Linked DNA regions of Ovis aries. The protein of the gene in region 1 purifies or fractionates together with the protein of each later gene. This does not show direct contact. Links are inferred from orthologs where the notes say so. Each region holds a gene or a part of one and is shown in the gene's direction. Other genes may lie near its edges.

Region 1 (4,909 bases):
ACCTTAGATGCTCCCTGACCCTAAGTGTGCTCCCTCTTGGCCCCCAGCCCCCAGTCCCTGAGAAGCGGCCCCCTGAAGTGCAGCATTTCCGCATGAGTGATGACGTGCACTCGCTGGGGAAGGTGACCTCAGGTCAGTCCCATCCCCCACCTGCCTGTGGCTTGCTATGGCCTGTGCTGAGGGCTTAGAGTGCCTCGGTCTCACTCCTTTCTCTCTCTCTCTCTCTTTCCAGATGTGGCCAAAAGGAGGAAGCTGAACTCCGGAGGTGGCTTGGTGAGCCGAGAGGGGCTGGGAACAGGGCCTCTCCCCCTGAGGGCTGCTTTGAGGCAGCCCCAGAGCTGGGGTTCCATCTTACCCTCCTGGGAAATGGGTTGGTGAGTGAGTGCCAGCAGCAGCAATTTTTCTTCAATCTTTTTCTAGTCAGAGGAGTTGGCTTCTACGCGGAGTTCAGGAGACGTGACCCTGGAGAAGGGGGACCCGGGGTCCCTTGAGGAGTGGGAAACGGTGGTGGGGGATGACTTCAGCCTCTACTATGATTCCTACTCTGTGGATGAGCGGGTGGACTCTGACAGCAAGGTGAGAGGGAGCCGGCCACGCTCCCAGCCATTCTGCCCCCGCATCCAGGGCTCATTGTCCAGTCTTTCCTGCCCCCCTTTTTCCTCTCTTTCCTTTTCTGAACACCCACTAGTTTCACTGCCCCGTACTATCTATAACTTATTTCCAGTGTGTGCTCTACCCCATACCATCCCCTTGTCCCTCTCCAGTGATAATCACCACCCTGGACTTGGGATTTAACAACCTGTTTTATGGTTTATTTGTTGTTTGCTTGTTTATTCTTTTGCAACATAATGCTTAGTCTTGCCTTTTATTTTTTGTTTGTTTTATCATGGAATCTTTCAGATACACAGAAAAAAATAGAATAGTGAGCCCCCAGGTGGCCATCACCCAGCTTGAAGGATTAGCAATACACTGCAGATCTTGACTCATCTCTTCCTCCCTAATACCCACACCTACTGGATTGGTTCAAAGCAAATAGCCAGGCACCATTTCATTTTATCTAGAAACATTTCCATAAGTCTCTCTAAACATAAGACCTCTTTCTGTTTTCAAAAGATTTACAGATGTTTTGGGGTTTTTTTGGCCGAATCATGTGGCTTACAGGGATCTTAGTTCCCTAGCCAGGGATAGAACCCATGCTTCCTGCAGGGGAAACATGGAGACCTAACCACTGGACCTCCAGGGAAGTTCCTACAAATGATTCTTTAATCCCATCACCTTGCTACCAATAAATCTTCGCATTTTCTCAGTTGTTTCATAAATGGGTTTTCGTTTGTCAAGTTTCAAAAGAGATCCACACATTGATCTGATTATTTGTCTTAGGTTTCTCTTGGTATATAGGTTCCCTGCCTTCTAAAAAAAATATTTTTTTTGCCATTCGTTTGTTAAAGGAACCAAGTCGGTTGTCCTGCAGAATTCTTCACACTTAGGAGTCGGCTGATTGGGAATTGACATGTAATTCTCTGTCCAGTGTTTCTTCCTATAAACTCATAGATCTAGAAGTGTGATCAGACTCAGAGGCATGTTATTTTTCTTTTTAGTTTGGAAGACTTGATAGCAGGTGCTTCCTGTTGTATCATCAGGTGTTGGACATTTGGTCTTTTATTAGTGAAGTTAAGATCAGTGGATTCAGACGATATCACCCTGATTTCATTATGGCATTTCTGATTAGCTTTTCGTGTAGTGTTTTCAGTCTCACGTGTTTATGAACTTCATAGAATCTCATACTATACATTTGTTATCTGGAACAACGACTTTTTTTTTTTCCCTGCTTACTATTATGTTGCAAGATCATCACATTTTTGCATATCACCATAGCACTGTGTTTTTCATTGCTGTATGACACGCCATAGCCCGTCTTTGTACCCAGCCTTTCCTTCCTCTCCTGTCCACAGTCATCTTCACCAGGGAACCATCCTTGGGGATTTATGGTTTTCTTGATCACACCTCCTTCTCTGAGTTCCAGGGGGATGTGTCCTACTCTGCCTCTCTCCCAAGTTCTCCCCAAGAGCGAGCTGTGGCCTGGGGTGGGGGCCACAGCTTTACCTCTCTTCCAGTCTGAGGTTGAAGCTCTGGCTGAACAACTGAGTGAGGAAGAGGAAGAAGAGGAGGAGGAAGAGGAGGAAGAAGAAGAGGAGGAGGAGGAGGAGGAAGAAGAGGAGGAAGATGAAGAGTCCGGCAATCAGTCTGACAGGGTAGGATGGGAGGCCGGCGGCCCCGGAGGAGTGGAGACTGCAGGACCGGAGGTCTGAGTCCTCCAAGGAGGGGGTTACGGACTGGGGGCCACCCGCCACCCTAATGCTCCTCCTCCTGCCCAGAGTGGTTCCAGTGGCCGCCGCAAAGCCAAGAAGAAATGGCGGAAGGACAGCCCGTGGGTGAAGCCATCACGGAAACGGCGGAAACGAGAGCCTCCGAGGGCCAAGGAGCCACGAGGTGAGGAGGCCCCTCTGCTTTGGGGTCCCCTCCTCCAGCCCCCTCCCGGCCCCCAGAAAGCGTGCATGCACACCCACGCTCCGCATGCACCCCCGCGTCCAGGCACCTGTGAGCTCGCACTCTCACTCTCTCTGTCTCTGTGTCAGGAGTGAATGGTGTGGGCTCCTCAGGCCCCAGTGAGTACATGGAGGTCCCTCTGGGGTCCCTGGAGCTGCCCAGCGAGGGGACCCTCTCTCCCAACCACGCTGGTAATTGCCAATTGCCGATTGCCGGGATAGGGAGCCACTAGGGGTGCCCTCAGGGCCAGAGGGGATGGGGAGGAGGGGGACCCCGCTGGAGCTGGGGTGTCCATGACCTGACTTTGGGGGTTCTGGAGCATGGAGGGAAAGTCAGGGTGGGGGTGAGAGGCCCCATGAGGGGTCCTGGTGGGTGAGGGGCTGGGCCGCCCTCAACTCCCTGCTCCCTCTATCCAAGGGGTGTCCAATGACACATCTTCGCTGGAGACAGAACGCGGGTTTGAGGAGCTGCCCCTCTGCAGCTGCCGCATGGAGGCCCCCAAGATAGACCGCATCAGCGAGAGAGCGGGACACAAGTGCATGGCCACGGAGAGCGTGGACGGAGAGGTGGGCCCGGGGCGCTGGCCGGCGAGATGCCAGGGCAGCCGGCCCCGGAGCCCAGCCTCACCTCTTGTCACCCGGCCTCGCCGCCCACAGCTGTCCGGCTGCAACGCTGCCATCCTCAAGCGGGAGACCATGAGACCGTCCAGCCGCGTGGCCCTGATGGTGCTCTGTGAGACCCACCGCGCACGCATGGTCAAACATCACTGCTGCCCCGGCTGTGGCTACTTCTGTACGGCGGTGAGTGACCAGCAGGGCAGCCAGGCGGCATGCCCCACAGGGGCAGGGGCTCCCGGAGCCTGACTGCGTTGTTTCCTTGCCCCTAGGGCACCTTCCTGGAGTGTCACCCTGACTTCCGTGTGGCCCACCGCTTCCACAAGGCCTGTGTGTCCCAGCTAAATGGGATGGTCTTCTGTCCCCACTGTGGGGAGGACGCATCTGAGGCCCAGGAGGTGACCATCCCCCGGGGGGATGGGGTGACCCCACCAGCTGGCACTGCGGCCCCCGCTCCCCCACCCCTGGCCCAGGATGCCCCCGGGAGAGCGGACACTTCCCAGCCCAGGTACTGGCTTCGCCCTTGCCTTCTGTCTCTTCCCTGCGTGGTCCCCATCTGCCCTAGACATTCGCACCTTCTTCCACAGTGCCCGGATGCGGGGGCAGGGGGAGCCTCGGCGTCCACCCTGTGACCCTCTGGCCGACACCATCGACAGCTCAGGGCCCTCCCTAGCCCTGCCCAACGGGGGCTGCCTCTCAGCTGTAGGGCTGCCACCAGGGCCAGGCCGGGAGGCCCTGGAGAAGGCCCTGGTCATCCAGGAGTCGGAGAGGTGAGTAGGGGTTGCACGCGTGGGCGCAGCCGCTGGGACTGGGGCTGGGAGCGTGGATCCGTGGCCCTTGGGACTGGTACTTGAATCTGAGGGCCCCTCTCCCCGGCAGGCGGAAGAAGCTCCGGTTCCACCCCCGGCAGTTGTACCTGTCCGTAAAGCAAGGGGAGCTGCAGAAGGTGATCCTGATGCTGTGTGAGTGTCGCCCTCGCTCATTCAGCAGACCCTACCTGCGCGCTGCTTGTGTGCCCGTCCCTGGGCTCGGAGCCAGGAGGGCAGCCGCGAGGGACATGGTCTTTGCCCTGAAGGACGAGGCTGGTAGGGGACGCAGACACACAGGTCGCCCGTGATGATGGGGACTGTGGTGGCGATAAACGCAGAGGCCCTGGGCCCTATTCTGAGAGCTTATACACTTTCACTCACTTGTATCTTCCCAGTGGAGACTCAGAGCGGTGAATTGGCTTGCCCAGTGCACAGGGTACTGAGGGGCTGGGGCCATTTGAACTTGGGCAGAGCTGGTGCTCTTAACGTCTACTCTCGTGAGGCTGTGCCACGGTGGATGTGAGCACAGGGGAGGCCCAGGAGGCACCCCTGACCAGGCCTGGGGTCCTGAGAAGCCTTCCTGAATGAGATGCCACCCACCCCCACGCTTGCTCACCGCATGTCCCTCCCTCTCCCGGTGTGGTGGGCTCTCCCCACAGTGGACAACTTGGACCCCAACTTCCAGAGTGACCAGCAGAGCAAGCGCACACCCCTGCACGCGGCTGCCCAGAAGGGCTCTGTGGAGATCTGCCATGTGCTGCTACAGGTCAGCGTGGGCCCCACCTGGGACCACAGCACCCCACCCCACCCCACCTCAGCCCCTCCCTGGTGCCAACAGACCTTCCATGCAGGCTGGAGCCAACATCAATGCCGTGGACAAGCAGCAGCGGACGCCGCTGATGGAGGCCGTGGTGAACAACCATCTGGAGGTGGCTCGCT
Region 2 (4,909 bases), about 22 Mb from region 1:
TATACGCGCAAAGCTGTTACTGGGCATATTTCTTATTTGTTTGGTTCTGTGGTGTCCTGCCTCAAATTCCTTAAATCTTTGGGTAGAGAACAGCACCACCGTGAGTTTTGAAAAGGAAGGTAGGAAATAGGAACAGGCATAGACTGTGAGCTTCTCACGTTTCTGTAGGGCTAACCCTGGCTGGGATTTTTGGTGGTAACCAGTTTGCAGATTAACTGTGATAAAAATATTCAGCATACGAGTGATAAAGTTATTAGCGATCAATTTATAGCGTTAGGCTCTTGGAGTCCGGGGGACCAGGAGGAGCCGAGGCTTGAGGAGGGAGCAGAGCCCGTGAGGAAACGAGCCCTTGACCCTGACCTTGTCGCCTTCAGTCCCGGCCCAGACGCACTGGTGCAGGGGAGCTCGGCTGAGAGAGGCAGGAAACCGGCCCTGGATAGCTCAGTTCCCGTTTCCCCAAAGCATTTCTGAGGCTTACCGTTTGTAGGTGGTTTTTTAACTTTTTGGTGAGGTCTGTGGGATGGCAAATATTCTCCAAAAGAATGGATAGAATTTTGATTTTGTTGAATGGTCTTTTTAAGCTTTAAAGGTCTTCCCTATAGCTCAAACGGTAAAGAATCTGCCTGCAATGCAGGAGACCCAGGTTCGATCTCTGGGTCGGGGAGATCCTCTGGAGAAGGGAACGGCAATCCAGAGTATTCATGCCTGGAAAATTCCATGGACCATGGAGCCTGGTAGGCTACAGTCCATGGGGTCTCAAAGAGCGACTTCACTTTCACTAAAAAGTGAACTTTGTGGCAAATATAATCTCTCTCCTTCCCACTGTTCCCAGCATAGCCTTTCACTCAATTGAGAGGAAGCTGACGTTTAAATTCAGTGTGTTGTATGGGATGCATCTGAGTGCGCATGCAGTTTTAAGGTTTAAAATACGCTTGCTTTACGCCCCCAAAGCAGCAGGCAGATGGTCCGAGCGTCCAGGGCCCAGAGGCAGCTCCCACCTCTGGCAGCGTGGGGCTGAGCCCTCCTGTTTCTACTGGACAGAAAAGCAGTTGTGTGAACTTCTGTCTGGCAGCTTTCGTTTGTTTCTAACATGAAACGGATTTCTCTGCGGACTGTGCTCCCTCTGGCATCTCCGAGTCCTTAGCACGAGAAGAGGCAATGGTGTCCATTCCCGGGCAAGCTGGTCCACTCATGCTGCTCCTGGGAGGAGCCCCGGGTGCAGAGCAGGCTATCATCTCGAGCAAGAGAAAAAGAAAACTCATCTTCTTAGGGGGAAAAGTTCAGCTCCAAACATTTCTCCGAACATACAACACGAGAAGGATTAGTGCTGCGTGGAGAGTAATCCCTTCCCTTAACCATTTCTCTGTCAGTCACTGAGTCGTGTCCGACTCTTTGAGACCCCATGAATCACAGCACGCCAGGCCTCCCAGTCCATCACCAACTCCCGGAGTTTACCCAAACTCATGTCCATCGAGTCGGTGATGCCATCCAGCCATCTCATCCTCTGTCGTCCCCTTCTCCTCCTGCCCTCAATCTTCCCCAGCATTAGGGTCTTTTCCAATGAGTCGGCCCTTTTCATCAGGTGGCCAAAGTACTGGAGTTTCCACTTCAGCATCAGTCCTTCCAGTGAATATTCAGGACTGATCTCCTTTAGGATGGGCTGGTCGGATCTCCTTGCAGTCCAAGATTCTACCATTGCTCTCTAGAATCTTTATTGTTACACTGGTTTGATCCCCTCTTTCTTGTGAAGCTACCGTCCCTGTCTGTGGCTTCCAGTCGTGAGTACTGGAACCGTCTCCACTTTGCCCGCATTCATAGGAGCAGCTGAATGCAGGGCCACTTGGGGAAGATGTCTGGTTTAAGTCAGGGTTACAGTTTGGCAGTTACTTTGTTGACAGTCGTCTGTAACTGAGCATAGACGATGCATTTCCGTCACGGGTTGTTGATCTAGAATCCTCAGAAGGTGGCAGAACTGAATAGCTTCATGGAGATGGTCTGGGATTATTTCAAGGACCTATCTTAGAGGTTATCTGGCTCTCTTTGTGTCCTTGAATCCCAGGGTGATCATCATGACAGGACCCCATGCTCTCATTCATCAGCGTGAGTTAATTCTCAAGCCCCCCAACCTCCAGGGACCCTGAGTGGGCTGAGGGCTGACTCCAGAGGCCTTGGAGAACAGTCCCCCGAGTTGTGCAGCTGCCAAACACTGAGGGCCCCTCTCCCCACTGTATACACACCCACCCACCCCGCCACACCTCATCCTGCCAGAAATCCATGGCCCCTCATGTCTGTGTCTGCGGAGGAGGGGAGACTGCACGCTAAGTCGTGACTTTCAGAGCCCATCTGAACAGACTAAATTGCTGAATTGTAGGGAGTAGCACCCAGACTGAGGATCTGGAATTCTGTCCTTCTGAGCTAGAGCTCAGACAGCCTTGAAAGATTATCTTGTATTCATTTCCAGTGTGTTTATCCTTCCCTTCACTGTGTTCAGTCTTCACAAGACGCAGCCTCTGAATGCAGTTAAGATTCCGGCCCTAAACTGAAGAGCAGCCCAGCTTTCCAGAGGCCAGTGGCGTTGTCTGGGCCTATGAGACCCCTCACCCCGTGTGTGAGGGAACCTAGGCCCCCTGGGAGGCCTGCTCAATGGTTGTCGCGAGTGGCGGGAGGTGCTGTGCAGACGTGTGTCAGGCTGGGGGATGCTCTGTTGGGTCTTAGACCAGCCGCTGAGCATCTCGTCTCTGTGTCTGAATCACTCCGTCCGGTCCATATAAACTCAGGAATGCCTGTGTTTTCAGTTTATCAGTGAGCTGTCTGAAGTCACAGACCAAGTCCAGACTCAGGCCCTGAGGCTCCTGCCCGATCCCAGGCTGTCCTGTGTGGCCCCGCACCCTCTTTCCTGAGGGAGAGCTGCTGGACTGGTTTGCAGCCTTTCAGGTTTCCTGGGCTCCCCCCTGTCATCAGGGGAAGACAGGGTTCCTGGAGCCCAAGCTGAGAGCGCCCTCTGCTGTGCCGCTCCCTGGGAATTCACGTGGGTCCTGTAGCGACAGCTGCCTGCCCAGCCTCTGGGACGCCGCTCAGCCTTTGCAGCACAGCGGTACAAGCCAGGGCCCTTTGCAGCCAGAAGGCCGTCAGAACCGCCAGTTACAGTCAACGCGCACGGCCTTGACGTCTTGATGTACCGAATTCCATACAAGTAGATTTCTTTCTGTTGCCCACATTTGCAGTGTTTTGAGTAATCCCCCCTTTGCCTTCTGTTTTAGAAACTTTGTGAACACCTTCATTCAGTTCAAGAAACCTATTATCGTAGCCGTGAATGGCCCGGCCATTGGGCTAGGAGCATCCATCCTGCCTCTCTGTGACGTGGTCTGGGCCAATGAAAAGGCGTGGTTCCAGACGCCCTACACCACCTTCGGGCAGAGTCCAGACGGCTGTTCCACCGTGATGTTCCCCAGGATCATGGGAGGAGCATCTGTGAGTACCTCTTGTCAACGCGGCGTCCTGGGAACCGTCCTTGGTTGCTGCTTCTCTTAACCGTGTACAGGTGTCCCTCTGGGCAGTTCCCATCGGACGCTCGTGTTGTCCAGCTCTTGTCCTCATTCGTGAACCCGTGGGAAGTTGTCATGCTCTGGTTCATAGCATGTTTATTGACACTGTTTGGCATCATTTCCTAGAGGCCCTCCTTCCACAAGGTGCCTCCATGTCTGCATAATTAACGCTGATCCTCCCCAGGAGTGAATACCTGGTCTGTAACCCAAACCACCGAGAGTTTGCAGTGGAAAGGGCCTTGACCTGATAGCCTGGCAGCTGCACTTCTGAGGGACGCCTCGGGCCGAGTTGCCAGGTGCTTCCGCACAGAATTGCTCTGCGTGACCCGCCGCACCAGGAGTCTGGGCTGTAGTTCTGTATCTCTGGAAAGGATGTGTTGCAGTCCTCGCTCCTGGAGCCAGGGCAGGAGGCGGAGGCAGGCAGGGGGCTACCAAAGCTGTGAGGCAGCCCCTGACCCCACGAGGAGCTCCGGGGCACCCGCCGTGGACCAGAGTGGCTGGTGGCTTTGTGTGTCATTGCTGAGCGCAGGCTCCAGCTTTGCCCTTTGACAGAGTCCCTGGGGGTCCAGGCAGCTGTCCTGATGGCTTCTGGCAGCTGGGCAGCCAGGGACGGGGACGGCCGCTCCTCTGGGTTCAGAACTCGCCTCCCCCTGCCTGGGAAAGACACAGAGGAGGCCTCAGGCAGGAAGCACCACCAGACGTTAAAATTAGTAGGTGAAAAAAGGGGCAGGAAATGGATGATCCATCTCCCCCTACCTGGCTGCCCCCTGCGGGCCTCGGGGGCCGTCCTGGTGAGGCAGGGGGATACTGGTTGTTGCCCTTGGCCGTGGGCAGCGAGGCTGGACAGGGAGGACTGCAGGGTTCCCGGGCACCCACCTCCCTGGGCAGTGGTCATGGATCTGAGGCCCGAGGGACCCGCCACGCCCAGAGCTGTGAGGAGAGACGTGTCCTCGGGAGGGGCAGCCACACCTGCCCCCTGGGTCCCAGCCTGTGGGGACCTGACCCCCATTGCCCCTGGAGGGTCTCTCTGCCTGGTGCCGCCCGAGACCCCACCCACGTGTCCAGCCGGAGGCCTCGCTGTGTCTGCTGCCCCTCGCGTGGTGGGTGCCCCCTGCCTCCCTGGCTCAGCTCCCTGCCCCCCTCTCCTAGGCCCGCCCCCAGAGCCGCATGTCTCTGCAGCTTCGGCTCTACAGCAGATAGACCTTGGATTTCTTGGTTAGTCTGTGTGGTTCTGCTCTACATGAACCTCTTAGATTCAGTAAGAGTCTCCGGCCAGTGGGCCACTCCCCACGGTGCTTGCTTCACCCTTGGGCACCATCTGAACTCAGAGTGGAGAGTTTCCAGGCTGGGTCTCCCTGCCACCT
Region 3 (4,007 bases), on another chromosome or scaffold:
TGTAGGGGTGACAGTTGGATGTTGTTATTAGAAAAAAAATATTCCTGTTAAATATATTCATAGTTTATGTTCTAACATAAATGGCATTTCAGGGGATAAGAAATTTCAAAGTGATGATGGAGATATTAAGATAATAGAGATATTTAGGTGTAATTACCAGAGGCCCCTGGTTTTTAACATTTTAACTTTATGGAAAAGTTTCCAAGGATTCTCAATACTTGTTATTCCCTAAACTTACTTAGAAAACTCTTAAGTACTAGAGATTCTCAATCATATGCTGACAGAGTTGTCCTACTTTCCAAACTCATAATACCTTCAAATATTAATTACAACAAAAGTATGGTATTTTCATTTAAAATTTAGATCTGATCATTCATAAGACAGCTTAAACTTCAGAGTTTCTAGAATTCATATAATATCAAAAGTCAGAAAAACTCTTGTTTCCCTCTGTTAAAGTAAAAAACATTTCTACACCTCTGAGTAAATATTTCCAGTTCCATTTTTTTTTAAAGTATCACAGCATCTAAATGTGATTTAAATGTTTTATAACTGACTGGTATATCATTCTTTTACAGACTTGCCCATCACCCTCTGTCCCTCTCCCTCAATTTGCTTTACACACCTAACGTTATGGCACTCTGTGAACAAATATTTAAAGGATGGTTACAATATATTTTATTTGTATCCTATAGTAATTTATTTACATTTTAGAAGAAATTTGAATACAATGTGGCAATTTTGACAACCCAGGAAGCTCATCAAAGATTCTGTGTGTAATCTCATCAAAGATTCTGTCTGTAATCTCATGATACACCAAATGGTTCCCTTATTCCATGTAACAGAGACAGGGATTGCGTGTGGTTTACCTTATAGATAAGAAAAGAGGAGCTGACATCCAGTAGCACTTAATCCTTTTTGAGTTCCTTAAACTCTTGTAGTGTATGAATTTCTTTGAAATTCACCTAAATTCAAATTGCTCACCGAGGCAACTAGAAAGAAGAATGTGCTGGTTAGAGAGTATGTGTTACCTCATTCTTTCTACTGGTTGTGAAGAACCTAGTTTCTACATACAAGCTAGACTGGCAAGTGAAGAAAAGTGTGACTGCTAGCAACATGTTCACTTAACCAAATGATGCAGAAGTGTTCTGCAGGAACTACAGTATATATTACACAGTGGCAGAACAAATTTCTATTCATACGCTGTTTAAATGTCAAAGATTAAATTACTGGGTTTTTCTTTATTTTTCGTTGCAGAAGTATTCATTGAGTTCCTACCATGTGCCAGGCTCTTGTATGAGCTAACTAATGAGAACCTTGTAAGATTTTTCTGTTCCAGATTTTGGTTGTTTAGCTTTGAAGCAGCCATTCTTAAATACATAACTTGAATTCCTGTAGTTCTTTACTTATTAGATTCTTCTTCTGAGGATAAACAGAGAAAGACTTTTAAAGAGGCAAGTGATAGGAAGCAAAAGACAGTGGCTTCAATGAGATTTAGGCTTCTCATGGTTTTTAATTTTCTATATGACATTTCTGTTATCATTGCCACTTGACTACTGTAAGAAACAGTAGTCTGTTTACTGGTTTTTTAATATTAGCATCTGTTCTTTTGGAACCTGGACTTTGAAAACTCATTTCACACAATCATTGAATAGCCAATTCCTATTCTCTCTTCCCTAGAATTTTTCCAGGGCATTTCACATGACAGGTTAACAGAAGAAAATTCATTTGGACAACTCTTCTGTTACATTTGTTTCCCTTCCCCCTTGGGCCCCTAGAGATAAATTCTTACCATCTCTTCCTGCTAATTGACCAGCAGCACCCTGGAATACTATCATCACTTTGTCCAAAGGAATGGTGTAGTTGTATTTAAAGAATAAAATGTTATGTCCCATCTGTTCCTACCTATGAAAAAAATCTCTTTTCTTTATTAAATTAGATTTTTTTAAATAAATGATTAAAGGAGAAGTCAAGTAACAAATTTCAAGAACAGTTAGCACTAGAATTTTGATGCACTTTAACGTAAAAATCTTTTTTTTCCCTTTTTAATCACTTTTTTAAAATAGAAAATAATGTAACAAATAGTCATCATTTAATTTGTGGTCCATTTGTTAACTTATGTGAGATAATCTGGATCTATTTTTCTAGTAAAATAGAACATATGCTTGTGTATACAATACAGATTCAGTTTAAAAGTGAAAGTTGAGCATTCTTTGTCCTTTCAAACGTAGGGCTAGCTTATAATTTTAAGAGCTATTTATTATTGTAAAATTCAAGATGAATTGCATTGAACTTTTTACTAAGTTTTCAAAGTATGTGAAATCTGATTAATGGAGAAGTAATCAAATGCAAACTTGATGATCTTATATAAGACATTATAGTTTTCCTGGAAGTAAGATTTAACCAGATGTTAAAATAATGTATATACGATTGTAAGAGAAAAGATTGCCATTGCTGTGGTAATTGACCACTTTCGTAATTTCAAGTTGTTTTAGTTTTATCTTCTCAGTTCTGATTTGGTATGGTTAAGCATTGTTTGAAAAATGAGTACAAGAAGAGTATATGCTGATAGTATTACTGCTATTAGAGAACCAGCTGCAAGTTAGTGCATGCTTCAGGGAATACGAATGAATGCAGACATTTTCTAACTTGATTTAGATGGTCTAACCTCCCAAGAAGTATCTGTATGTATGTGTACTTAGAATATGTAAGAAATGTTAAGTCTTTTTCTTCCCCTTTTTAGCCTTAGATTGTAAGCAAAAGAAATCAAGGTCAAGATCCGGAAGCAAGAAGAAACTTTTATCATTACCTCATGGTGCTGACGAGGTTTACATTCTCCGATGCAGGTATATGTCTGTATTACCTAATCTGCTCAGTTTCTTCAGATTTTGCTTTGAGACGTACTAGTTATTTTGTTTGAGATTTTTAATTTTTGACTGAAGGTACAGTCTCAAAAATCAAGTTACAAATGAACTTTCAGAGACAGACTTAAAACCTTATATGGCTCATAATATGCTGTACTTCAGCAGCTAATCAAGTTTTTTATATTAGCGAAGGGCCTCTATGATATTGTGATTTGTAAAAGTGGCTTTTTTTGTTGTTGTGTTTTATTCGTGTTCTTTGTTTCCTTTAATTTGATGTTTTTCACATTATCTTGACTTCCTGCTTATTAGAAGTATATTTTCTCTCCACTCGTACTTCTGAGTGTAGATATACAGACTCATTCACACTTCCTTCCATACTCATCCTCATGCAATTTAAGGAATTCTAAATTGAAGAGTGCATTTTTGAAAAAAAGAAATAGTGCATTTTGAAATTAAGATGTGTAGGTGTTAAGACCTTTTAATTAATTTTCATAGCAATGTTCCCATCTCTGCAGGTATTACTAGAGTTAGTATGAATTGGCAGTTTTGATATTACATTTAATCATTTTGACCTCACAGGTACTTAGAAGCTGTCTAGTACTATCTTCAGTATAAAGTTTGCCCTTTGTGTTCATGAATTTTATGGGAATTGGGTTTTTTGGAAGGGGGGAATTGGTTTTAAATAAAGGGAATCGATTATGTTAAGAGAACTGTTAAATAAAGGGAATTGGTCATGTTAAAAGAACTGTTATCAACTTCTTCTATAGGTTTTGTGGCCTGGTCTTTCGTGGACCATTGTCTGTTCAGGAAGACTGGATTAAGCACTTACAACGACACATTGTAAACGCTAATCTTCCACGGACTGGAGCTGGCATGGTGGAAGTCACATCACTACTCAAAAAGCCTGCCTCCATTACAGAAACTTCATTTTCTCTACTAATGGCAGAAGCAGCTTCATAGAACAAGAAAACCGTTTAAATAGCAAATTTGAATTGGATGTAAATTTGAAATTCTTTGTCTTTTTTTTTCAAAGCCACATTAAATTATCCATTTATAAATAGTAAAGCAGGAAAATGGGGAAAAGTGAATGAGAGTGACATCAGAGCAAATTGAGTACTTCAAACAGTAAGTAGTCTCTATATTTTA
Region 4 (4,909 bases), on another chromosome or scaffold:
AAGTTTTCAACACCTGATCTGCAACGTTTCTTAAGCTGCTAACACTTCAGGGCCACCAAGCTGGTAGATGACTGGTAGGTCTTTGGTTGTTAAAGTTATTCCTGTTAGATCTTGAGTAGGTGAACATCCTTTTAAAAAGCACTTATTTGGCTGTGCCAAGTCTTAGTTGTGGCTGGCAAATCTTTGGTTCTGGCATGTGGGATCTAGTTACCTGAAGAATTGAATCTGGGCCCCCTGCAATGGGGAGCGTGGAGTCTTGGCCACTGGACCACCAGGGAAGGCCCTTGAGTCGGTAAATATCCTAAAGCTCATTCATTCCACTGAGGGCCAGCTATGTACGGTGGGTATTATAGATACAGCACTTCAGATCCCTGGTTTCATGGAAGCAGAACAAGCTGTGCCTGTGGGTAGTGACATTGTGATGGATGTGAAAAGCCTGGGGAGCAGAGAGAGTAGGTGGGAGAAAGTTGTTCAGAATGGAGGGGAAGGGACTTGAGCAAAGACCTCAGCTTAAGAACAAGCCAAGGAGATAGTGAGGGAAAAGACATCCAGGAGGAGGGAACAGCAGGTGGAGGCTGGGAGGGGGCCACGTGGGCTGTGGAAGACTAGGTAAGAGGCTGTGTGGCTAGAGTGGAGGGGCTGGGGGGTTGAGTGGTCCGGGAACAGGGACCCAGGGCAGGGACTGGATCCTGCGGGGCTCTTCAGGCTGAGGCAGTGATGCTGGGGTCTTCTTGGAGGTCGTGGAGTTTGGACTGCGTTTGGGGTTCAGACAAGCCTGTGATTGGGCAGAGTCGCCCTCCTCTCTAGCCTCCTTTGTTCTGCTCTCTCCTGCTCAGTGGAGGTGCTTCCCTTTGCCTCTCTGTGTAAAATAGCTTGGCTCCAGCTCATGTCTCCTTTCAGGGCTCGGCACATGCTTTTCCTCTCCCTGGACAAGAGAATAGTAGGGGCGGCTGGATCGCCTGTTATAAAGCCTCAGGTGGAATCATCTCAAGATGGTCTTTTTGACATTCGTGCCCCACAGTGGGCTGGGCGCCCTAGGAAACCCCGGTGTGTTTCTTCGCAGTGCTCTGTATGCTCGCCGCGTTGGGTGTGTCTCTCCCTCTCCACGAGCAGGAGCCTGATCCACACTGGGACGCTGTCCACTCCCCGGCCACTCCCCGGCTCAAACCTCTGCCTGACAGCACGAGTGATGTTAGCATCGCTGATGTTCACAGCCTTGTGCTGCCCTGTGGCGCTGCTGGGGCAGAGGCTCACGAGAACCAGGGGCTGGAGCCGCTGCAATCAGGAGTATCAGGGCTTGGGGTCTCTGGGTGGCTCCTCAAGAACAGGTCTGCCCCAGACTCCTTCCTGTGGGTAGGGAAATACGAACACACGCCCCAGGAATGGCATATGCATTTGAGCATCAGGCCGTTGAAGCCAGACCACCTGGGTTAGCTGGGGACTCTGTTTACCTCTGGTCCTTGGGCTGAAGGTGGCAGGTGGAAACTAGCCCCTTCTGCACACTAATGGGCCCTGCCCCGGCTGGGGACTTGGCACTTCTCCCTGATGTTACCTCTCCTGACGGAGCACGAGGATAGTCTGTCAGGCTGGGCCCTGGCTCCTCCCCTTCTGTGCATCCACCGTGTCCTGCCCTCCGTGGGTGTGTGTCTTTCCTTCCCACGGCTTCAGGTCCTAATGGCAGGGCTGTGCCCCATGTCTGTCTGCTATGCCTGGTAGAAGAGCTCCACTCAAAGTACTCATGTGTTCATTTTTCTTAATTTGGTAAGATTTCAAGATGAGAATTTCTTGGCTTCCAGGGGCCTAGGCGGTGGGAATGTGGCGGGGGATACTCTCAGACCTGCACAGCACTTCTGGCCTTGAGGCCAGCACAGGCAGGTCCGTAAGCAGAACCCACCCCAATCCCATCCTGCTATCTCAAATTCAGCATCCCGCTCGATGATACACATTCTCCAAATGTCACGGAGCGTCTCTAGGCGTTGGATGTTCTTGAACTTGAGGCTTCACCCCCCCGCCTAGAGGGAGGTGGAAGTCCCTCCTTCTCATGTCCTCAGTGCACCTCGCCTCTTATGATGCTGTGTAATATGCATTATCTTAATCTTTTTGAGGTGAAAGTCATAATGCAAACATAAAATAGTGTGAAGCAGTAAATCCAGAGAAACAAAACAGATCAGGAATTGCCGGGGTGGTGTGGGGAGCGGGGAAGGAGTGACTGCGCAGTGGGTTTGAGGTTTCATTTTCAGCAGCAAGAACGTTTTGGAGCTAGAGGGGGTGGTGGCACAGGTCTGGGTAGGAGGTATTGGAACAGCCAGTGCGTCTCCACAAGCCACTCCTCAAGGGAGGACGCGCCAGGGGCTCCCCTGTGAGGCTTCCCGCTGTCAGTCTTGCTGGCCTCTCCACATTCCCTTCTCATACTCTTGCTCTGGGTGCCCAGGTGGGCGAATCAGAGGCTATGGGGTGAGAGCACTGTGCTGACCCAGTGCTCTGGCAGCCAGGGAGGCAGTGGAGTCTAGGAGCCACACCCCTTCCCCCCGTGTCTAAGCTTGGCTCTGCCTCTGCCTGCCTCTGGTCTCCTGGTAAACGGCCTCTGTCGCCCATCTAGCGTGTACTGTAAACGCGGCCACCTTTGCCCGATCGACACCGGCCTCATTGAGAAAGATGTCGAGCTCCTCTTTTCTGGTTCAGCAAAGCCGATATACGAGGATGACCCATCTCCCGAAGGTAAGGGGAATGTTCCAGATTGTCTGGGACAGTCAGTTTATAAACCGAACAGAGTCTGGGCTGTGAGCAGCTACAAGCAGTCGCGCTCTGATGGCTCCAGTAAGGCTGCCCTGCTCATCTGATCAAGAGGTGTGGGCTCAGGTGGGGACTCAGTGCCACTTAACCTGCTTGGGTTTTTGAGGCATATTCTTTTAGTCGTGTCCAACTCTGCAACCCCATGGACTGTAGCCCATCAAGGATCCTCTGTCCATGGGATTTTCCAGGCAAGAAGACTGGAGTGAGTTGCCATTTCTTAGTCCACTTCATTTTAAGAAACCTTTTCCTCCTCTTTTAGGTGGTATTAATGGCAAAAATTTTGGGCCCATAAACGAATGGTGGATTGCTGGTTTTGATGGAGGTGAAAAGGCTCTTCTTGGCTTCAGCACCTGTAAGTATGTGGCCAACTGTGGACTGTTCTGGAATCTGAAGTGAAAGATGCTTCTGTCTTCCACGGGGCTTGGTTGGGCTCTAGAAAGTCTCGGGCTCTCATGACTGTGTGGGAAGCATGTCAGGCTTGATTGGGATGGCCTCTCTTACTAGTTACAACTGACCCTGGAACTGACCTTGCAGCTGAAACCCAGACCGAATTCCAAAAGCCAGAGTCGAGCTGGGAAAGCCACTTGGCCAGTCTCTTCTCTGGTTGGCTCCGACAGGCCCCTTCTGAATGAGCTAACCCTGACCGTACCTCCTGGGTTTTGACGCTTGAGTGTGGAGTGACTGCCTGTCCCGTGAGCCTCACAGCCTCATCCCTGCCGTTTGGCTACTGCCGCTGCCGTCAGGCTCACACTGCTCTTATGCGTCTGTCTACTCCAGCATTTGCCGAGTATATCTTGATGGATCCCAGCCCAGAGTACGCACCACTATTCAGCGTGATGCAGGAGAAGATCTACATAAGTAAGATAGTGGTTGAGTTCCTGCAGAGCAACCCTGACTCCACCTACGAAGACCTGATCAATAAGATTGAGGTAAGAGGCTTAGGTCCTTCATTATCTGAGATTCACAGATCGTTTACATGTGATGTTGTTCATTCACTGATTTGGGTCCAACTCTTGGTGACCCCATGGGCTGCAGCTCTCCAGTCTCCTCTGTCCTTGGGATTTCCTGGGAAAGGATACTGGCAGGCGGGTTCTTCACCACTGAGCCACGTGGGAAGTCCCATTTACATGTGATACAGATGTACCAAGAAGCATGTTTGTTTGATGTAAACCAGTTTTGCTTAAGCCTAAGAGAAACTTCCGTTTTTGTTTTTGCTTTTTCCAAAAGACCACTGTTCCTCCTTGTATGCTCAACTTGAATCGATTCACAGAGGATTCTCTCCTGCGGCATGCCCAGTTCGTGGTGGAGCAAGTAGAGAGTTATGATCGGGCTGGGGACAGTGACGAGCAGCCCATCTTCCTGAGCCCCTGCATGAGAGACCTCATCAAGCTGGCCGGGGTCACCCTGGGAAAAAGGTGAGGGTGCAGCAGGAGTGAGCCTGAAGACCTGAGACGGAGTCTGGAAGGCAGGGCACTGTGGGAGCGCTTCCTGGGCCACTAACACCGTGGAATCTCTCTCCCAGGCGAGCCGAAAGGCGGCAGACCATCCGGCAACCCGCCAAGGAGAAGGACAAGGGCCCCACCAAGGCCACCACCACCAAGCTGGTCTACCAGATCTTCGACACTTTCTTTGCGGAGCAAATTGAGAAAGATGACAAGGAAGACAAGGAGAATGCCTTCAAGCGCCGGCGCTGTGGCGTCTGTGAGGTAACCTCGCCTAAGCTGGCTCTCCTGCCCCTCATGATCTCTGAGGAGCTCGCTGTTTTCTCTTTTTGGCTTGAGAGTCTTACTGCGTAGACGTGACCCCCAAAAACAGAGCTCAGAGAAGGAGTTACTTATCCAAGGGGACTTGCACGTCTTACGGGACAGCTGTCAAAAGAGGCACGCGCAGGCACTTTGCCATCAGTGCCGCTGCTGCCGCAAAGCAGTCTGGCCACGCCCCATCGTGTCCTCAGGCCCCGTGTGAGGGTGAGGGGTGACTGCCCCACAGAGGCCAGCACTGCTTCCTCCAAGCGGGGTCGTCCTCCCAGGATCCTGTCTTGTCTTATGGTGTAACTGTCCTCAGAAAGTGGGGGCTTCGTCCAGCTTAGCTTTGAGGCCTGAGACGACCCCTCTCT
Region 5 (4,909 bases), on another chromosome or scaffold:
TTAGTCAGTATTGGGGGTGTTGCCAACTTTTTCTTTGAGAAATGAGTTTTTATAAAACAAGTCACACTTGTCATATGTGTAGCCAAGAGAGAAAAATCTTGGACTTAACCATGAAAGTCAGATACTCCACTTTCCAAATGATAGTTAAAAGAAAGAAAGAAAAAAATTCTTTCCATGCAGTTGGTAGATTACTTATCTTTTTGACATATAACTGAGCTAGATGTCAGCTGTTAGTGACAAGCTTTATTAAGGATAATGATCACAATTTATTATGTTCCACTGAAAAGCCTGGTTTGCAGTTACCTTATCCTAGAAATGATGAGAATGGTTCTCCAGATGGTCTCATACCAACAACATCAATATCACCTGGTACTTTAAAAAATGCAGAAACTCACGCCTCACCTCAGCCCTGCTAATCTTTGAGGTAGAGTTCAGTTGTAAGTTTAAATAAGCCCTCAAGGTGATTCTGTTGCCCTTGAGTAAGACAGATCAAAGGTAGAGAGCCTGTTGTTGTTGAGCTACTAAGTCGGGTCCAACTCTTTGCAACCCTGTGAACTGCAGCAGGCCAGACTTCCCTGTCCTTCACTATCTCCCTGAGTTTGCTTAAACTTATGTTTTATTTTATTGGTAATCATACCTCTTTTGGTGATCTCTCAAAGTATCAGTTAAACGCAGTTGTAAAAATTAGAGATAACAGCATATTAAGGTAATCTTAAAGATGAAATATTATGAAACAAGCTGTTGGTAAATTCTCAAGGTCCATGTGAATGTTGGTTGCAAGCCTACACTAAAGTGTTTTTCTTGGTTTGGCCCTTATTCATAATAGTGACCTCAGTGGCGTCTTGCTCATAGAAGTGACTTCAGTTGCTAAACCTGCTTCTAATTTGCGATGCAGAATAAGTTTATGGAAAATATGAGCTGAGATTAAGAGTTCTGGGTATTACAATAAAGTCTCTGTCAGTACATCATGTTTCTCTCTGCTTGGCTTTCTTATTTACATATAAAGGTACCACTCTCATCCGGTACTTTTAAAGATCAAATAAGATAGTATAATATTCTCACTTTGTTTTTGTTAAGAAACAAGAATACGGTAGTGAATCAAAGCATTTATCACAAATGCCTGGCATATAGAAGATGTGATGGCAGCTATATGTTATCATTGTTTATTTAACCCATCTTTTCTACATCATATTCTTATTTCTTTCTTGATTTTGAAGTTCTTTTTTCTTAAATCCTGACTCCTAATTCCTAAATTTCTGTTTCTTTGTACCAAATGCTTATACTGGACCAGGTGTCTGGAGGGACTAGATCCTTGAACACTTCAAGCATTATCTCTTATTGTACTTTGAAGGTCACAGTAATTAAGTCAATTAAGTATACCAACTTGTCATTGATTTCTTTCAGAAACAGATTCACAAACTGATTTATAACTACAGTATCCATGTACAATATGAAATATTAATAGAAGTGTTAAACAGCATTTTCTTCCTATTTCTTTTATAAGGAAATTTTTTCCAAATTATCATTATTTGCTTTTTACACACAAATTCTGAGTGATGGGAGTTAACTGTATGATCTAATTATTTAGTACCATCAGGTTATATCCTCCAATCTGATGTATTCATCCTCACTATGAGACGGTATCTCACACACAGGCTAAACTTGTTTCTGTCCATGAGTAAGACTGTGTACTGCTGGAGAAATACAAAGTCTTATTTCACGATTATCCTTTTTCTAGGTTCTAAACTGACTCGGTTAAGTTTTTCTTCAGAGTGTGTATGTGTATGTTATAGGCTCAGACTATTTGGGTTAAATTTTCTTTTAATAATTTTGTCATGTTTCGCTGACACTCTGTAACACTGTATTACTGATTAGAATGAGTACCTTCTGCAGAAATCTCATTTCATTTCATAACGTGGATATTTCTTCATTTCACCCTCAGGAAAGTGTGCTTTTTGTGGTTGGGGGAGGTTCAGGTCCCTGGCTGAAACGGCCTGATACACTGTTAAAGAGTATGGGTTTTGTAATTAGACTCAAAATCTGTTTTCACTACTTGTAACTTGTGTGGTTTTTGGAGAAATTGCTTAATCTGCTCGCCTCAGTTTCCTCATCTATGAAGTGGAGATAGCACAACAGTTTTGTAAGATGTACAGTAAAGATTACGTGAAATGATTTTACATAACCCTAGGAAAGAATATATGGCTGATGTAATCCAGTATCATTCATGTATGTTATTGCTGTTTTTAATGTGTTTTGGCTGGGCTCTGAATTTCATTCCCCTTTCTTGGTTTCTGTTTCCCCACTGCCAAATTATGTATGGTACTCATAGTAAATGTGAACTGATTGTTGGTGTACAGTCACTGAATTGAAGCAGAAAAGAATAGTAAAGATTAGGGTTTTTCTGGTTTCAGAATTATATTGTTTTACCTTTTATGATTTGTGAATTCTTGATAACAGTTCTAAGAATATTCTGCTGTATTAAGATTTGTGAATGATAGGAATATGAAATGTCATCTGTTAAAAATTTAACTTTTGTTCGGTCTATTTAGGAAGGCGACATGCCGATTCATGAACTTCTCAGCCTTTATGGTTATGATAGTACTATTCGGCTACCTGAAGATGATGAGGAGGAGGAAGAGGAAGAGGAAGAAGATGATGAAGATGCTGATAATGATGATAACAGTGGATGTAGTGGGGAAAATAAAGTAAGGTTATACATGTATTTTTATCTTCCTGAAGTTAAAATTTTATTGATACATTGATTTTGATTGCTTGTTTTTGTCATTTCTTTTCACTCTAACTTTAAAGGCAACATATTTAAATGTTAAAACTTAAGATATAGACATATCTTAATGCAAATTGGAAGTTCCCTGTAATCTACTCCAGAGAGGCAATAGTTTGCTCTGTCATTCCTGTTTTTTTAATGCCTGTTCTAAATAAATTTGTACCAACTTTTAAAATGCTGTTTTTTTAAAGTAATAATGGTTAATTGTACTCATTTTTATTTTGTTTTGAAATAACTTCAGGTTTGCATAAGAGATTCAAAGATAATTCAGTGCATCTCTTTGTACTCTAGTCGACTTTCTCTACTGTTAGCATCTTGTGTAACCATGGTATATTCATATAGTCTTCTAGTTTTATCTGGAATACTGTGACCTTTCATCTGTAGCACTTTTTTTCTTAAAGAGATTTAATGTGTTATTCCACAGGAAGAGAATATAAAAGATTCCTCAGGTCAAGAGGATGAAACTCAGTCTTCCAATGATGATCCATCTCAATCTGTTGCTTCTCAAGATGCCCAGGAAATAATCCGTCCACGTCGATGTAAATATTTTGATACGAGTAAGTATTATTAGTTACTATTTTTTTATATGATTTTTGCTATTTAATATTTTAGTGGTTTTTTCCAATACTCTGAATTCATTGATTTGGAAATCTCTCTCATCAGTAATGGGATTTTGTTCTAGATTATTAGTTTAGTTGTACTGGTGCCATGTTGTCCATGAATATGCTACTGTAATTATTGTGTCACTATGATACCTGATTTTGAATGTGTTCCTTTTTTTCCACTCTTGACTGTTCTTTAAATTTGTTGTTTCATGGTCATCTTTTTTATTTTTCCTAGTCTTTTCCTCAGTTTTCCATTTTCTGCTTTCTTTGCCTCTCAGTCTAGATAATATTCATAAGCATTGCTTTCTCTAACCAGTGGTTCCCAAGTCTAAAGAAATTGTTGGCCCTTGAGGTAGGAATATATTGTACAGAGAAAGAACTCTGCTGATGTTTCTACCTCCTCAAAGTCATTGACCAGTAGTCGATACAACATTTAACGTATGTATCTTGAATATTTGCATGTATCACTACTCCATAATGTTTTCATTCTAAGCAAGAATCCTTACCTTAGAAGTAAGGTAAGAAAAAGTTAACCATTAGTGTTGTTAGTTTAAATATGTAGTTTAAATTTCTATATTTAAAAAAGAAAAATACTTGGATACAATATAATAACCTCTCCTGAAGTGTGGTAAAGTAAAAATTGATTAAACATGGTTACTGCTTTGTGTGAATGACTTCTGTTACACATTTTTGTTTAGAGGTCAGTGTAGGGCTGCTGGTGATCATTTTATTGTGAATTTTTCATTTAGAGATACAGTCCAACTGAAAAGTGTTACCACTGCACAGAGAAATTAATTACATTTAATTATTTGGAGAAAATGTATTTTTCCCCTAGTTAAACCAGGAGCAGGTCCATTGCCAAAATTTGCTTAAAAGTGGAATACTAAGTGACTGCGTCTTGAAATAATATATCATAGTTCAGATGTTATTTCAGTATGCATGGAAACTATACATACAGTGCCCATCTTAGCTTTTCCATAGAAAGAATTAATTTCTGTGTGTGATGTTACCATTTTGAATTTTGTGTGCCATTGTAGAGTTGAGAAGATGCTGACAATCAAGTGGTTTTCAGATTTCCCGCTCCTTTATGTAAAGGCATTCTTAGTTCAAAATGTAAACAAATAGCAATTTGCCTGCTCTGAATAAAACAGAAGTTGGGGAGATACACATGCGCACTCTTCCTGTGTTCCCCCAAAGTGATGTTATAGCATTCTCAAGTGTTTTAAGGAGCACTGTTCAGAAACTATTATTTTGTCCCAATTCTCATTTAATAAGGGAAGAAACTGAGATCATATAGTTTTTCTGTCACCAGGCTGTTGGAAGCAGAATTAGGTTTAGAAACAGATTGTCTTGACTCTGAATCAATTTTTTCCCTAAAGTTTTTTGTAGAGTATTATTTCATGAAAATATAGTTATCTAAGAAGATTGTCCTGGAAGGTGTATGAGTTTTGTTTTTGTTTAACTGACAGGGTAATATTTGACTAAAAATATCTTGACCTACCTCTGCAAATATTTTTTG
Region 6 (4,909 bases), on another chromosome or scaffold:
TTGGAGGCTGTCAGTGAAAGTGGACGCTAGTATTTTGTTTGTTTCCCTGATTAATTTTATTTTTTGCAATCTTATTTTTTAAAACTCCCCTGTTCTGGTGAGGTGTGTATATCATTATGATATAGCATACTAGTAGATAATTTGAAAATGCCTTCCCTTCTCTAAGGAGCTAAGACTTGGGTCTGTCTTTCTGTTTTACTTTTTTATTAGTCCTTTGTATTCTGGTTCTTGTCATTTGATGCATTTTCCAGCTAAGTAAAGAGACCAAGAAACAACACAGCATGACTTCTGTAGCCGTTTTTGACATTCAGTGTGTATTTCCTCAACCTAACGTTTATGTCCTTTTAAAAAGGAGCAGTCTGGGGGTGGGGGGGGGGGAGGAGCAATCTGACTTTGAGACACTGGCCAGTGCAGAGTTTGGTTCCTAGGCCAGGATGCTGGCCTTTTGATGCTGCTGACCTTGAAAACCACCCCCACACACACATGTCCCTTACATTGTAATGTTCATCTGGGGCCCCTGGCAGCATTCTCAGCAGTGCTGATGGCTGTCATGTAGGCAGCTGGTAAGATAGGTGATTGTATATTTTAAAGGTGCAGGGGGGGATTTCGTTTCTTTCTTTAGACCACTGCAGAGGAAATTTGTTAGTCGGCATTATGCCTGATTTAAGATTACTGCCTGTGTGATGATTTTAGCATTTTCCTCGCCTCGGCTCCTTTTCAGCTGCTTGAACATTTTTCTTCTCTTCCCTCCCTATGTGGCAAACTGTTTTCAGCCGCCAGCTATGATTTACGACTTGGTTGCTGTGCCAGCATTCCAGCTGTGAGCAGCTGTGTGCACATCTGGGACCCTCCTCCCTTTAAGCGCCCCCAAAAGAGGCTATGCTTTTGAGCCTGTATGTCCCCTGATTCATGCATGGGGTTTCCTGCTCCGTGCGGGTCCTGGTATCTTTGGGACCACCTGGATGCTGAAGGCTTTGTATCTCTCAGAAGAAAGCAAGGTGAAAGGCAGATCAGAGATTTTAGCATGAAAATCAGACATTGGCGATTTAGTTCATTTGGACAGTCTAAGTCTTTTTTGTGTTACCATTAGATAAGCTGGCATTATCTTCCATAGTAAGGTTGTTTAAATTACCTGGTTTGTATAAAATTTCACCATTTTGCTCTCACCAGTGCCATCGAAACGGAATCAAATCCTATGCTCCTTATCTAGATTGCATGATTGCAATTTGACCAAGTTTGAATAATCCCCTACAGAATTTTTTTTTTTTTAATCCCTCTCCAGTTTACTCTATAAAGCTAATGACCTATCTCCATCAGGAGGGGACAGGCACAGATCAGGACCTCTTCCCCAGTTCATGGGGATTATAGTATGTGATCTCTGAAAGAAATTTGCTATCTTATGGTAGTTCTTTGAATCCCTTCTTAATCTTAATCATTGTTCATTTGTAAGTACAGATGGCTATGTGTAAAGAAGTATTAAAAATACTGGTCAAAAAAAAAATAAAAATAAAAATAAAAATAAAATAAAAATACTGGTCAGTATTAGGTGAACTGAAAGTCCAGAGAATAAACTCCAGATTGAGAGGTGGTATAGTTGAAGTTTATAAAATGAAAAAGGATTTAGTTCACCTGGACTTGTTTAGCATCTGAGAAGCAAGTTTAAGGATATTAGATTAGGGGATGAGAGGAGTTCCTAGATGATGACTCCAGAATATTTAAGGGATATTAGCAGTTTTAGGGGCTACTCCCAGGCCTTTGATGAAATACTAAAAGGACAGCTGCATCTTCCTGCAAAGTAGCTCTTAGCATCTCTGTTACTGGCTGACCCAGTATTGTATTTCTGCAGTTCTAAGAACTTTATGAATTGAGTGACAAATATGATATCCAGTAATATTAACTTAGGTTGTGTTTTGTTGAGCTGAGAAACAGGAAGGTTTTCTACTCTTACCTCCAAGCCATAACCTTTCTTCATCTTCTGTTTATAGCAGAGCAATGATATCGCTCGGGGCTTTGAGAGAGGACTGGAACCAGAAAAGATCATTGGGGCAACAGATTCCTGTGGTGACTTAATGTTCCTAATGAAATGGTGAGAGAGATTGGGCCTCCCTCTGCAATTGTGTTTCTTTGCAGTGACTTGAATTCATATGGAAGATAGGGAGGGAAGACTGAGTACTCCCCAGCTAAGAATTTTGATTGTCAGGGATCTAAATTTTTAACTGATACCAGCTGTCAGTATTAAATGGGAATTACGGTTCAGAGTGGATTTAAGATTGTAAAACTTTGGTATTAAGCCAAATTACATTAGCCCACATACCAGAAAATGGTAGAATTGAGGTAGGAAACATATAAACATGACCTAACCATTTATTTACACAGTTCTGAATCGTTTACCGTTACACCATGAGCCTGTGGCCATGGGCTAGAAATTGAGTGAGGCTTTCTGCCACCACTGAAGACCAAGACCGCTGAATAATGTATAAAAGAGAAAAGTAATCTTAACAAAAAGCATTAAGGATAATACTAGCCAAAGCACAAGTTATTTCATCCGGTAGAGGGAATAGCTTTAGAGGAAAGTGTAGTTGCTTCCCCTCAGCTTGGTTTCTTAAAGTCAGAGTGATTTATGGTGCAGCCCCCCTGCCTTTCTGTTTCCAAGTGTTCTGACTTGTGATTTAAGTTGGATCTCTAAATAGAGGGTTCCTGCTACAGTGCCACTAAGGAAGCTAATTACCTTGAAAGTTGGATAGTCAGGAGGTTTAACATTTTATTTGATCGAAATTTTGCTGGTAAATTACCCAGAAGCCTATATTTGAAGAATCACTATAATCTGTCCAAAGTCAGGAGCTGTATTGCCTGCTCTTCCCACTTAGCCATATGTGGAACTTAACGATTTACATTCACATATTAACTAGCTTTTTCCACCACAGTCCAAATTTGGGTAGCTGCTCTAAGCTGTGTGTTTCCCCCCTCCTCTTCCTATCCATAATGCTTACCTCCATGAGTTCAGCATCTCCATTTTCTAGAAAAGGAGTTAGGTGGAGGGGAAAAAAAAGAAGTTAGTTGTCTTTTCCCACATCTCAGTGGAATGTTAATTTAAAAAAAATTTTTTTTCTTGATTTGGAATCTTGATTAAGGAACTTGCTAGATTTTTGTTGTTTTTGTTACACTGGATAGTAAAAAGTGTAACTTGAGTAATTGAAATTTGCAGCTAATTCCTGCATTTCATTTTAGTGACTAGGTTTTACATTCTTTGCTGACTTAGGTTTCTATTTTCTTATTGTTCCAACCTACAGTTCTGACCAAAGGGATGAGTGTTTAAAAGGCCAGAAGATGAGGAGGGTTAGGACCCTTTCATGATCCAGATGATCCAGAAATTGGATTGAGCAATTTATGCGTAATCAATAGGGCTGAATGTAGCTTTGATTGTGTGTTCACTCACATGCTCATACACACAAATAAAACTTCTGAAAGCAGAATTTATAGAGTAGTTTAATTTTCAGCCTTTTAATTAAACCCGATATGTGTTCCATCTATTCTAGCTGAAGACTTCTATTTTCTTCCTGATGTAGTCATTAAATGATGTTTACTAACAATTTGATTCATTGGAGCCGTTAGGATCCTTTTCCTTTTGATGGAGAGGAAATCAAGTCAGCTAATTCATAATTCAGTAACACAAACCAGTGTTTGGACAGACTCTCATTCTTCCTCCCTTCTAAGTCTCATATTCTTTCTCTCCAGGAAAGACACAGATGAAGCAGACCTGGTTCTTGCAAAAGAAGCTAATGTTAAATGTCCACAAATTGTGATAGCATTTTATGAAGAGAGACTGACGTGGCATGCATATCCTGAGGATGCGGAAAACAAAGAGAAAGAAACAGCAAAGAGCTAAAGGAGGGGGTGGTCTCTGTCATTTCTCTTTGTACATAATACATTCAGCTCCCTGCCTCCTCTCCTTTCTACCCACCCCCTTCTATCCTAAACACATCCATAAAAAATGTGCTTATCACTGTGCTCCACAGGAGAAATGTTGGTATTGGTTCTCTTGTAACATAACTGATGGTCTGATTCATGATAAGTGTCTCTCTGTGAAGACCAGGCATTTACATACTGTGTGTAATTCCCACCATTTTTTCCTTTGCCCTGCTCTCTCCCTTCTGCTCCCCTGTGACCTCAAGATGAATTTTAACTTTTTAGTCACCTTAGAGTCTTGATCTTTTCGGGGTTGGTTGCTTTTTAGGTGGGGGATTTTGGTATAATGATGTTGAATTTTGGTTTCTTGCTTTGGCTCTTAGAACATGTTGATGACCAGCTAGCCTTTGTTTTGAGATGTTGGGATGGAAGAGATGTTGCCCGTCTTTTAAAAAAGCCAATAGCAACTGCCTACCTGTTGGGGCTTTCCCAACCTCATTCAGCTCTACCCAGGAGAATACAGGGTTCCTGATGTGGTCTTCTGGGCCACCCTCTGTTGTTCATCCTCACCATCCTCCCAGAAGAGCGGCATCCTTAGGAGGGCTTGAAATTTTACGTTCAGATTTGTCAAGGCACTCCTCCTAGCCCCAGGACTTTTGGCCTTATTTCTTAGCAGTCCCTGATTCGGCTTCTGCAAGTTGGTGAAGTCTGTTATAAAATGACAAGATTATTAACTGTGGAAATTTGTAGCTATTAGTACATGAGGATGATGGGGTAGGATACAATTGTCTTTATTATCACATTTGGTATGTATGTATTATTTCCTTCCATCTCTCTCATTTGGATTATATATTTATGTAGGTGTGAGTGACTGCCTGGTGCTTGTGCCAAGGTGCTAGGCACCCTCCAACCCTGCCAACTTTTGTGGCCTCCCAAAGCAGTCGTGTTACCAAAGAGGCTTCAGACTTCTCAGTGGACCCCACTTTACCCTCCATGCCATTAT

The links.
Region 2: the proteins of EHMT2 (region 1) and CDYL purify together in Homo sapiens (affinity purification with mass spectrometry; 4 studies listed by BioGRID and IntAct, with this or other methods). This does not show direct contact. The link is inferred for Ovis aries from reciprocal best matches to the Homo sapiens genes EHMT2 and CDYL.
Region 3: the proteins of EHMT2 (region 1) and ZNF644 purify together in Homo sapiens (affinity purification with mass spectrometry; 3 studies listed by BioGRID and IntAct, with this or other methods). This does not show direct contact. The link is inferred for Ovis aries from reciprocal best matches to the Homo sapiens genes EHMT2 and ZNF644.
Region 4: the proteins of EHMT2 (region 1) and DNMT1 purify together in Homo sapiens (affinity purification with western blotting; 3 studies listed by BioGRID, with this or other methods). This does not show direct contact. The link is inferred for Ovis aries from reciprocal best matches to the Homo sapiens genes EHMT2 and DNMT1.
Region 5: the proteins of EHMT2 (region 1) and MIER1 purify together in Homo sapiens (co-immunoprecipitation; 3 studies listed by BioGRID and IntAct, with this or other methods). This does not show direct contact. The link is inferred for Ovis aries from reciprocal best matches to the Homo sapiens genes EHMT2 and MIER1.
Region 6: the proteins of EHMT2 (region 1) and CBX5 purify together in Homo sapiens (affinity purification with mass spectrometry; 3 studies listed by BioGRID and IntAct, with this or other methods). This does not show direct contact. The link is inferred for Ovis aries from reciprocal best matches to the Homo sapiens genes EHMT2 and CBX5.

What each region holds. Positions count from the first base shown.
Region 1 is NC_056073.1:26,540,813-26,545,721, forward strand, and holds part of EHMT2 (histone-lysine N-methyltransferase EHMT2), read left to right. Parts: intron 1-47; coding exon 48-132; intron 133-232; coding exon 233-273; intron 274-420; coding exon 421-576; intron 577-2,114; coding exon 2,115-2,252; intron 2,253-2,375; coding exon 2,376-2,490; intron 2,491-2,636; coding exon 2,637-2,738; intron 2,739-2,964; coding exon 2,965-3,113; intron 3,114-3,203; coding exon 3,204-3,347; intron 3,348-3,433; coding exon 3,434-3,669; intron 3,670-3,748; coding exon 3,749-3,931; intron 3,932-4,040; coding exon 4,041-4,123; intron 4,124-4,629; coding exon 4,630-4,736; intron 4,737-4,821; coding exon 4,822-4,909. UniProt on the Homo sapiens protein: Histone methyltransferase that specifically mono- and dimethylates 'Lys-9' of histone H3 (H3K9me1 and H3K9me2, respectively) in euchromatin.
Region 2 is NC_056073.1:48,727,208-48,732,116, reverse strand, and holds part of CDYL (chromodomain Y-like protein), read left to right. Parts: intron 1-3,260; coding exon 3,261-3,471; intron 3,472-4,909.
Region 3 is NC_056054.1:68,270,501-68,274,507, reverse strand, and holds part of ZNF644 (zinc finger protein 644), read left to right. Parts: intron 1-2,740; coding exon 2,741-2,843; intron 2,844-3,628; coding exon 3,629-3,821; 3' UTR 3,822-4,007.
Region 4 is NC_056058.1:12,557,686-12,562,594, reverse strand, and holds part of DNMT1 (DNA (cytosine-5)-methyltransferase 1), read left to right. Parts: intron 1-2,599; coding exon 2,600-2,718; intron 2,719-3,052; coding exon 3,053-3,145; intron 3,146-3,570; coding exon 3,571-3,722; intron 3,723-4,020; coding exon 4,021-4,208; intron 4,209-4,315; coding exon 4,316-4,499; intron 4,500-4,909. UniProt on the Homo sapiens protein: Methylates CpG residues. Preferentially methylates hemimethylated DNA. Associates with DNA replication sites in S phase maintaining the methylation pattern in the newly synthesized strand, that is essential for epigenetic inheritance.
Region 5 is NC_056054.1:42,628,808-42,633,716, forward strand, and holds part of MIER1 (mesoderm induction early response protein 1), read left to right. Parts: intron 1-2,549; coding exon 2,550-2,705; intron 2,706-3,209; coding exon 3,210-3,342; intron 3,343-4,909. UniProt on the Homo sapiens protein: Transcriptional repressor regulating the expression of a number of genes including SP1 target genes. Probably functions through recruitment of HDAC1 a histone deacetylase involved in chromatin silencing.
Region 6 is NC_056056.1:132,292,258-132,297,166, forward strand, and holds the end of CBX5 (chromobox protein homolog 5), read left to right. Parts: intron 1-1,985; coding exon 1,986-2,086; intron 2,087-3,735; coding exon 3,736-3,886; downstream 3,887-4,909. UniProt on the Homo sapiens protein: Component of heterochromatin that recognizes and binds histone H3 tails methylated at 'Lys-9' (H3K9me), leading to epigenetic repression. In contrast, it is excluded from chromatin when 'Tyr-41' of histone H3 is phosphorylated (H3Y41ph).